Caenorhabditis elegans: one gene and its partners. The protein of the gene in region 2 purifies or fractionates together with the protein of the main gene of each other region. This does not show direct contact. Each region holds a gene or a part of one and is shown on either strand. Other genes may lie near its edges.

Evidence for each region.
Region 1: the proteins of tth-1 (region 2) and dct-16 fractionate together in Caenorhabditis elegans (co-fractionation; one large-scale study listed by BioGRID). This does not show direct contact.
Region 3: the proteins of tth-1 (region 2) and dbd-2 fractionate together in Caenorhabditis elegans (co-fractionation; one large-scale study listed by BioGRID). This does not show direct contact.

The regions. Positions count from the first base shown.
Region 1 is NC_003283.11:20,497,418-20,501,174, forward strand, and holds dct-16 (DAF-16/FOXO Controlled, germline Tumor affecting), read right to left. Parts: upstream 1,641-3,757; 5' UTR 1,592-1,640; coding exon 1,579-1,591; intron 826-1,578; coding exon 566-825; 3' UTR 507-565; downstream 1-506. Other genes in the region: dct-14 (DAF-16/FOXO Controlled, germline Tumor affecting), read right to left, coding at 2,636-2,788, 2,842-2,958, 3,012-3,077.
Region 2 is NC_003284.9:8,421,935-8,425,714, forward strand, and holds tth-1 (Thymosin beta), read right to left. Parts: upstream 1,798-3,780; 5' UTR 1,776-1,797; coding exon 1,658-1,775; intron 1,346-1,657; coding exon 1,140-1,345; intron 1,064-1,139; coding exon 932-1,063; 3' UTR 920-931; intron 787-919; 3' UTR 546-786; downstream 1-545. Other genes in the region: tag-123 (Transmembrane 9 superfamily member), read right to left, coding at 1-118. UniProt on the Caenorhabditis elegans protein: Plays an important role in the organization of the cytoskeleton by regulating actin polymerization in two ways. Firstly, by binding to and sequestering actin monomers (G actin) inhibits actin polymerization.
Region 3 is NC_003280.10:4,561,033-4,563,998, forward strand, and holds dbd-2 (DB domain-containing protein), read left to right. Parts: upstream 1-1,917; 5' UTR 1,918-1,918; coding exon 1,919-2,071; intron 2,072-2,160; coding exon 2,161-2,418; 3' UTR 2,419-2,428; downstream 2,429-2,966. Other genes in the region: M03A1.8 (ascorbate ferrireductase (transmembrane)), read left to right, coding at 1-335, 391-470, 515-678, 1,294-1,437.

The DNA of each region.
Region 1 (3,757 bases), on a different chromosome or scaffold from region 2:
ATCGAAAAATTAATCTTAAAAAATCAATTTTTGTCACAAAAATTTATCGAAAAAAAAGCTGATTTTATAAGAAAAAATAGAGATTTTTAAAAAATTTACAAGAATATATTTTCCATGAAAAATCACTTGGAAAGACCATTACAAGTTCAAAATTACAAAAAAATTATTTATTACAAGCTCATAATTGAATTAAATTTGCGTGGTTCGATCTACTTCGATCTTCGAAAAATGCGGGAATTGAGATGCAGATTTCTCAATTGACTTCGCATGGATAAAAGCGTGCACTTTTTGGGCAAAAAAATCCCGCATTTTTTGTAGATCAAACCGTAATGGGACAGCCACCATGTATGTACATTACTTTTCAAGTAGGTCAAGTAGGTTCGGGCAGTTTCCGAAATTTTAAAGGAACTTTTTCATTAGAAATACGTGGTGTCATTACTGTTTGATCTACAGAAAATGCGGGAATTTTTTTCCCAAAAGTATGTGACCATTACAAGTTTAAAATTACAAAAATTATTTTATTACAAGCTCATAATAGAATAAAATTTCAAAACAAAAAGAAAATCTATTGCTTCTTGGCGGCCTCGATAAGCTCGGCCTTCTTCTTCTCAATAATGACAGCGTAGATCTTCTGATCGGCTTCCGATTGTCCCTTAATATACTCATTGGTCTCTCCGATCATTTTTGTGATAATTGCCAAAGAAGTGGCAGCATCACGTTCTGGCTCATCGTCCTTCTTCTTGTAAGTGGCGGCGATTTTGAGAATTCCCTCGATGGATTCTGGCGAGAGACCGGCGGCTGTCATCTCCTCCTTGGCTTTTGCGACTGAAATTTTTTTTACATATTAGTAGGGTATTAGGAGACCTACAAAAAATCCGAAAATTTTCAATTTTTGGATTTTTATTAGGTAATTTGCGTGGTTTGATCTACTTAGATCTTCGAAAATGGCGGGAATTGAGATGCAGACTTCTTAACTGATTTTGCATGGTTAAGAACGTGCTGACGTCACATTTGTTTGGGTTAAAAAATCCCGCATTTTTTGTAGATCAAACCGTAATGGGACAGCCTGACACCACGTGTGTGCTGTACTTTTCAAGTTGGTTGTATGTTCGGGTAGTTTCCGATATTTTTAATAAACTTTTTTTATTGGAAGCGTGTGGTGTCAGACTGCCCATTACTGTTTGATCTACAGAAAATGCGGGAATTTTTTTCCAAAAATATGTGACGTGTCAGCATGTTCTTAACCATGTAAAATCAGTTGAGAAGTCTGCGTCTAAATTCCCGCTTTTTTTGTAGATCTCACCAAAATGGGACAGCCTGACATCTAAAAATGTAAAAAATTAAATCATTTTTTGGTGTTGTATCCTATAATATCTGGAATATGAGGTTATTGTACAATTACATGTAAAAAATCAAAACAATAACTTGCTAAAGAATTACATACTTTTTTCTGCCGAAAAATCAACAAAAATTGAAAATTTCAATTTTTCGCCATTTTCGGTCTTATTGTTAAATTTTTTTCAAATTGAACAAAAAACATGAATTCTTGAAAAAATAAGCATACATCCAAAAACTCACGTTTCTCGGCCATTTTTAGTGTTGATTCAGCAGCAGCAGCAGTGAAAATTGATGCCTATGCCGAAATGTGGCACCCCGCTTGGCATTTTATACCGAGAAAAAATGTTTGTGACCGCATGCACTTTGCTCTTCCAGCGCGTGTTTGCATGCTTACGTGTTCCGAACGAAGACCGTTTTTGCAGTTGTTGCTCCGCGAGCAACTAATTTAATGATGTGTCAAGAACACTATGTAGATAAGGAATTTTAGTGATATGACGGCTCGCGAAGATTTTAACGTGGAAACTTGCTGGAATCCATGTGGCAAATAGAGATTAATGTCTGATATTTTCCAGAAAAACTATGGCCCAGGCTTAGGCTTTATAGGGTTATTCATGAGATGACGATAAATGCAAAAATGTATTTTTTACATTTTTCCCCTATCTATTCATGTGTGTAGAAAAATGTAAAAAAAACACATGCTTTTTTTGCATTTTTCTACATTTTTCTACATTTTTCATGTGAAGCGGGCTGTCGGCCGATGTAGATAAATGTCGAAAAATGTTGAAAAATTAAAAAAAATGCCTTCGTTTTTAGGGATAGGGTAAAACTGTATAAAAATCATTTGTGCATTTTTTGGCATCACATGAATAATCCCAATAGCTTCGGTTTAGCGTTTAGGCTTAGCTTTTTTTTAAGGATTAGCTTTGGCCTAAGCTCAGGTGTATCAAAGTTTTAAGAGCCCATGATTACAGACCACCTAAAAAATCTCAATGACCAGAATTTCAACGCAAAACATATTTATTATTTATTGAAATAATCAGAAATCACAATTTTTAGAGATAAGAGGGCAGGAGAAATGATGGGAAGAAGGTGAATGGCATGATGGTGAAGCTTGTTTGACTACACGGCAGTACATAGGGTAGACCTGACTTTTTGGACATAGCGCTTGGGCCAAGAAGTACTAGGATGATCATGTAGGTTTAGAGGTTGTCTGGAATGTTTTTTGAAAATTGAAATCGCGAAAAGTTTGGAGTTAAAAATAGGATTGTTAGGATTATTGTTTACAAGTAGACAATAGTCACTTGCGACGTGCCGGATCTTCGTCGGCGATCCACAAATCGATCTTGTTCAACTCATTCTGTTTCTTGAGCTCTTCCGGGTTCCGAGGCTTTTCTGGTTTTGGCTCCTTGGGTACCACCTCTGGGTTCTTTTGTTCTGACGTTGAAGCTGTCTGAAAAAAGAATGTAAATAAGTAAATTATATGTTTCTCAAAAAAAAACTCACCTCTATCGCCTTGACCCTCTCCATGTTTTCATTGCGTCGTTTCTCGATCTCTCGCATTTTCACAGTCTTCAACGGGATAAGCTTCGGCTTACAGAAAATTGGCTCAAACCAATCTTCCTGAAAATAAGAAAAACACTCGAGCTTTTTTGTTAGCATAAATCTCAGCTCACCTTGGAAATAACGTAGCACTCATCGACGGTGAGCTTCTCCTCGACACTCGGAGCATCGGGGTTCATTTTAGTTGTGAAATTCAAAGCAATGAGTTTGCAAAAGATTCAGAAATTTGGTTGTTAAGGACAACCTCTTTACAACTCGCTGTGTACCCCTCAATTAAGACACATGAGATGCTTCTCATGGGAATTAAGGGGGATATAGTCAACAAGTATAGGTATACTATGATTAATTATCACGTGCGCTGGTGTGGGTGGGGGTCTGACGAGGTTCTGGTCGGAGGGTAATCTTGATGGGATGCGGAATTAAATTTCAAAAATAATAAGAGGACACGGGGTTCAAAATAAAAATTGGAAAGTAGAAAAATTTGAAAAAAAATTGATCAAGCGACAATTCTAGGTTGGCCAACACTCTGAGAATTCATAGTTGAGTCATCTGAAGTTTTCCTCAATTTTTCAAATTTCCAGCGGAATAGCTCTTTAACAGTGTCTCGATAATGAGCGTTTACGCCGAGGCAAATTAAGAAATGAACGGTGGCGTTAATGGCAACAAATGACGTGAAAATATCCATCAAATAGCGTATGGTAGTTCTGAAAAATAAATTTTGATGAAGCAATACCATTATATTAAAAAAAATTACCAAAAGGATAATCTAATATTCTAATAAGAAGTGATAAATTGAAATTTACAGAAAATACTTGAAACTTGATTTAATTTTTGCTGAAGTTTTAAGAAAAAAAAGTTT
Region 2 (3,780 bases):
TCGCTTTTTCCACTTCACAAAAGTTCACTGGTGCCAGGCCAGGAAGGTAGAAAGCACTGGCACTGGCAAGAAACGAAACCAAAAGTAGTTTTGTGAGCATCCTCGTCGTTTTGGGCATTACCTGAAAATTGATATCAACAAAAAGTTCCGTGAAAAACATGCAAAATGAAAGAGAAAACGCGATGGAACGAGACAATAAGGGTCTCTTTGCATAAATCGAAATGCCACGCAAAACTGACGAGGCAGCCGACCTCTCTCGCGTCTCTACAGTGTGTACACTCTTTCGGCGGTGGGTCTCGCAACGATATGACGACGGAGTGTGGATTTACGGCCTCCCTTTAATATTTCAACCCATTTTTATTGGAAAATAGTTTTTTTTTGGTGTTTTAATATCAATTTTCAATGTAGATTTTGTAAAATTTTTAAGAACAACAATCGTTATTTCACACTCAATTAAAAGTATACTCATAGTTATTAATTTAATTACTATTAATATTAAAATACTAACTTTCCTGAAATTGTTTCATTTAAAACAAAAAAAAACTGTAATAAAATATGTTCATTTTCAAGTGGGGAATAAATATGGAATGGTAAAAAATCGATACATCAAATATTATGTAATGAAACGTAAGAATTGATGAAAATACATGTTTGTCAGGGTAAAATGTTAAAATCGATAAAACTCGAACCAGAAAACAAAGAAAACGCATTTAAATGTGAGAGTCCGGATTTTTCACTAACGATAATATGAAGGCGTACCGAATTGAGGTTGAAGAAGGAGGGACTCTGGAAAATAAGAATATAGATTAACATCTCCGTCGTTTCAATTTGCGAATTCCACATCATGACCTAGTAATTCAGATTGAATTTTTAGATATATAGAAACATTGGAAGTTTGATATTAAATAGAAAAAAAAACCTTTTTCATAAATTATTGAGCTTCAGTGACGCGGACATCGGTGGAGACAATGGTTTCGACGTGGTGAAGAGCACTCTTGTCAAAAGAAGCAGCCATTTGAAGAGTCTTCTCGCGAGCAACATCGGTTGGAGAAGGAAGGACGTTCTGAAATACAAACACAAATTGCTTTGTTTCTATAATGTTTTGTTTTAAATGAAAACTTGTGAAAATTGTGAGCTACCTTCTCAATGGTCTCTGTTTTTTTCAAGTTCTCAGATGGAAAGTTGTTGATCTTGTCGGTGAGCTCCAAGTGTTGCTTCTCCTGCTTGATATCGTCAGCCGATGGAAGCACAATCTTCTCCTTCACTGGGGTAGAGTGGAGCTTGGTAGAGTCGAAATGTTCAATCTCGTGAATGCGCTCGACATGTTGCTTCTCCTCGGCGACATCTGAAATGTTAAAACTTTTGAATAACAAAAGTTTGAACTGATCAAAATCATAACATTTCCTGTTTGTGAACTCATGTAATTTTTATATTTTGAAATAGTTATCAGTTATTGTTTGAACAACTGATCATTTCATTTGAAAGTGATAATGACTCCGAACATCGAAAACACATGATTTTTTCTCGTCAGTTTTGATATGTAAAGTTGATGAACTAATGATTGAAACTGTATTGGAATTGAAAACTCTATCGATACTCTATGAATTCCATATTAATTTCCTATTCAATACCAAAAAATCATACAAACACAACTAACCTTCCTTGGTCGGCAAAACATTCTTCTCGGTGGTTTCAACTTTTTTGAGCTCCAATCCCTCTCGGACAGCTCCAGCGAGCTCTTGGTTCATCTTTGGAAGTTCGGTGACGGCAGCCATTGCGAGTTTTGGAGGAAAGTGTCTGCAAGATATAGTAGAGCAATTATTGTCTAAAACATTTTAAGAGGCAAAGTGGGAATGGCAAAAAAAAGAAATGACGGTAGTCAATGAAGAATCAAAAGAATTATCTGTGGGTTACGATTGAAAATGCTTGCGTTTGCCTATATATGAGAGAGGAGGGTTGTCGGCACAATAATAGTGTTTCCTGTGACTAATACTTTTTTTCTTGTCGCACTGACTGACTCATCACTGGGTCTGCTGCTGCTGCTTTTATTTTCAAACGGACGGGAAAAAATTGGGCAATGGACAGGATTTTGAGGACAAAATGACATGAAGAATAAGATGTGAAGAGGGGATTTTGTTTATTTGACTAAAGAAAGAAAGAAAGAGTCTATCATAAACAATTTGAAACGATTGTATATGTATAAGGGTATTGGTATGTGCACGTTTCGATATTGTCATGTTGGAAAAGGGTAGATGGGGGAACAGCGATAAATTTTTATTCAACACGTGATTTATTTGTTGTTTTTTTTTCCTATTTGTGATGGTGAAATAAAATATCGTCATGGCTTTGAAATCGAAGAGTGACTACTGAATTGAATCAATACGGAAAATTGAAAAGGGCATTTAATGTCAACAAACATTCATTCTACACTTCTTCCCATCGATTCCATGAGAACTTTTTGTTCGAGAATTTTGAGAATGAAGAAGTGAAACTGTAAAAATGAAAGGAAAGTGAAACGATTGAGAGGAAAAAGAATTGTACGTTTCCAAGTGTATTCATATTTTCTTTCACCCTTCTTCTCTCGCTCTTCCAAATGACCTACTTCAATTTGATTCACAGTTTTTGTAGTGTGAGGAAAGGTGGAACGCGTGCGTACACAGACATTTGAAAGAAAAAAATTTAGATGGGAAAACTCGGCACAGACTTGGCATGGCAATTATGTGCTTGGCGGGTGTTTAGGAGAAAAACTATTGCAAGAAGTTCGAAAATACAAATTCTATACTAAATTTGAGTACACTAAATTTGAGTATACTTGTAGACAGGTAGCCCGCAGTTTTCGTCATTATAAATTATGTTTACAATTGTGTTTCCCAAACAGGGTTCACATATAGAATAGAATACGCGCACCTACCGCGTGAAGCATCTAATTGGTTAGGGCAGCTTGGGTCAGAAGCTCGACTTATATACGCTATTTGACAAGAACAGGTGTGGGGCTGCTCTTAGAATATTGAAATATATTATTGAAAACAAAACAAGGGTATGATGTTTTCAAGTGCAGTTAGAAGTAGAATGAAGATGCAAGGTTGAAGAGTGGAAAAACTCGGGAAATGGAAAAACAAAAGCCACTTGCGCTTCAACGCCTTTTTCGTACAGTTGTGCGCATAAAAAGACAAAATATTTGCACATGGCCTTCTCTTTCAGGAATATATGAACAAGGCGCAAAAAATACTTCAGCTGATCATCCGGTCAGCTGTTAGTCACCGATAAGTGGTCAACGGAGAGATATGGTGGTATTGCGAAATTGATTTCTGTGAGGAAAAAAACAACTCACAGGAAAATGAGTTTAAGGTGAAAAAACAATAATGGGGCTTGGAAAAATTTCAAAATTCCAGTAAAAAAGGGACTTATACCAGATATTAACAATTTTCTTCAATGCGCATTTAAAAAAATTGTGTGACTTTTAGTTTTACATTACTATTTCAATATTCGGTAGCCGTGTATTCATAAAAATGCTTATATACTAGTATACAGGCATGGCGCTGTTTTTTTTTTGGTTGCGGAGAAGTCCTAAACAAATTCTTTTGCATAAATTTGAGATAGTTTTGGTGTTAAGAGTTGCAATTCTCCATGTGGATTATTGTCGACAAAGACATAGTTAAGAAATAATCATGGGCCATTCTAATGGGTCAAATTTCTGGAATCATCGAAAATTTGGGTTTTCAGGCAAATTATTTTTAAAAATTTACTGTGACTTTATCAGATAGTGTATGATAGCTCATA
Region 3 (2,966 bases), on a different chromosome or scaffold from region 2:
GAATTCAAACGATTACTTGTAAAATTACATGCAATTCTAATGATTCTCGGATGGCTTTTCTTTGTTCCAACGGGATTTTTATTTGCAAGATATGGACGGCAAGTGTTCAAAAATCATACAATTTACGGAATGTTCGTATGGTTTCAAATTCATCGAGCCTCAACTTTTATTGGTGTTTGTTGTATTGTAACCTCGATTTTGTGCATTTTAATTTCAACAAATTGGACCTGGAAAGGTACTGGATCTGAAGCATGGTACTGGACACAATGGCACACGGATTTTGGAACGATTTCTACTATTCTGGCATTCTCCCAGCCGTTGAATAGTTTGTTGAGGTAGATTTATTTTTGTAAAAAAATAGCAAAATTTTATACTTTTTATTTATTCCAGATGCCCACCTTCCAACTCACAACGTTCAATTTTTAATTGGGCTCATCGAATTGTTGGCCTTCTCTCCTACACTTTTGCTGGTAAGTTTCCATGACTAGAATTCAAACTTTTTATACAAATTAAGTGGCCGCAATCTACGTGGCTGCCGCCAATTATCGAAAGACATGGTCAGAGCCAACAATGGAAATTGTGCTGACCAGTGTGCCGACCATTTTGTGTATCGCCACAGGATTCGTAGTTTTGTATTTGGAAAGCGAGCAGAGAAATGGGTATAGGGAAGTTGAAATGGTAAGATTTTTCAATTTGCATTTAAAGTTCTAAAGTTGGAATATCCTATGCAATAAGAACATTTCTACGAAGATCATACCATATCATGTTGCGAATCACATGAACCAGCAGTCCGTATGTAGTTTACTCCTACGGGCAATATAGGCCAAATCACTGGAGATTAAATGATTAATTTATTTTTATTTCAATTATTGGCAACAAAAATTGATAATTTAGTATTAAAGAAGTGTGGAAAAGGGGGAAAAGTTTCTAAAAAAGTTAGTGATCCAAAACATAATATCTCATTTGTAAAACTAATAGTTTCGGTAAACAGTGAGAAAAATGAGTTTAAAAATGTTTTAAACTTGAATTCCCGCGCACAAGAAGTTTGAATATTTTTTGAGAATTTTTTTCTTAATTTTCAGAATTTTGTTGAATGTTCAAAGCACCTGAATTGCAATTTTTTGCATCAAATTTGAGAAAAAAAACTAGAATTTTTAAGGTAAAAAGAACATGTTTTATTAAAATTTTCAAGCAAAAAATTCTACAAAAATTAAGACTAACTTTAACGTCACAAATTTTTCAATTCAACATTTGTAACACAAAAAAATGTTCCACAAAAGACACAACTTACAGATCGAAAAATCCGAAAAAAATTCCAAAAAACCGGAGCGTCTTCAACTTATCCAAATCTCATGGATGTTCGCCGTTGTTGGAATCTGCTTCGGTGTCGCCATTTCATTATCTCTTCTGATTGCAAATGGATTCAAAAATGACTAATCACCTCTTTTTCAATGACAACTAATTCTCGTACCAACCACTTTTCTCTTTCTGACCTGACCTGCAATAATCCATTAAACGGCTGTGTGTGTCCTCTTTCTCACTTTATCACCAACTATCTCTTCTAGAAAATAAATATATATTTTCTATATGTTTCTTCTTATAACAGAGTCTATACATTATTACATGCAATTCATCTTTCGCAACATTGACCGGCCTCAAAAAATCCGATAAAAGTACAATGGTGACTGGTGTTCTAGGAAATAGGATTGTTATGATAGGGAGTGATATCTTATCTCTTTTATTATCACAGCCTGACCTCAATATGTCAGAGGTGGAGTCTTCCGGGTGACCCTTTAAATAGTCCGGGCCTTGACACCGATAGGCTGTGTATTCTTCATTTCTTCGATCTTCCACCTGTTGCAGTTTTCTTTTATTTTTCAAAGTTAACATATCTATATTCATAGTAATTAATTCTAGAATGAACCGCTTCGCAATTCTCCTGGCTCTCCCACTTCTTGCTCTTGCTGCTACTCCAAATGAGAAGCTGAAGCTATGCTGTGCCACGTTGAAGGATGCCGATAAGGAGTGCGTCGATCGATTCTGTGACTTCAATGCTCTTTCTCAAGCTAACGTAAGTTGTCTCCTGAGAGCTAGTTGCGCGTCAATTCTGATGTATTTAGTCAGCTTACTAGAAATAACCATTACACGTTCTTATTTCAGATTCTGAACTTCATGTCGACTTGCGGAGAGCGTGGACCAACTGTCGGAGAAATGTGGGATTGTGCTTCCCTCCGTCACAACCACGAGGACTGCTGCAAGAAGGCCGGTGTCTCTGGAGAATGCCTCAAGTACTGTACCGCTCATAAGGGAGCTCCATCCAACTATTTGGACTATGCTTTCTGTACCGAGAACTTCAACGAGATCCGTGATTGCTTCTACAACCATTTGGACAAGAACGAGCCATTCAAGAAGCTCTAAATGGAAATATAATAATTGAAATTTTCTTTATATTATGAAACGTGTATTTAATAATATGGAATAAAGATCAACTTGATGATAAAGTTAACAGTTTTCCAAGCTATTTTGTCTTTTGATTGGCTTGTCCGGAGTTCTGGAATTGCCAGTTCAAAGGCACATGATGTTTTTCCAAGTGGGTCTCGCCACGATCTCAGACATAATTGTCGTTACAGGGCCCAGTTTTCCAGGTGAAATAGAAAATATAGTTTATGAAATTTCAAACTCAAAATTTCCGGTAGAAAGCCCGGATTTAGGACCTAGTTCCATGTTTCCGCAATGTCCTACAAAATTCCCCCATTTTCCAAAACTACAGTAATCATACAGTACTCAATCACTACTTTACCCAAGCTACAGCAACTAACAACATAACTTTCCCAAGTTTCACGTCTCGCCTTCTTTCTCGTATTGTTTTGTTTTGACAATTTGAAGGAAAAAGCTGTTGAGTCGAGTGTTTGTCGGGGCGGCTCACACTGTAGTACAATAAGGCTTCACATGCGCCTACATAGGTA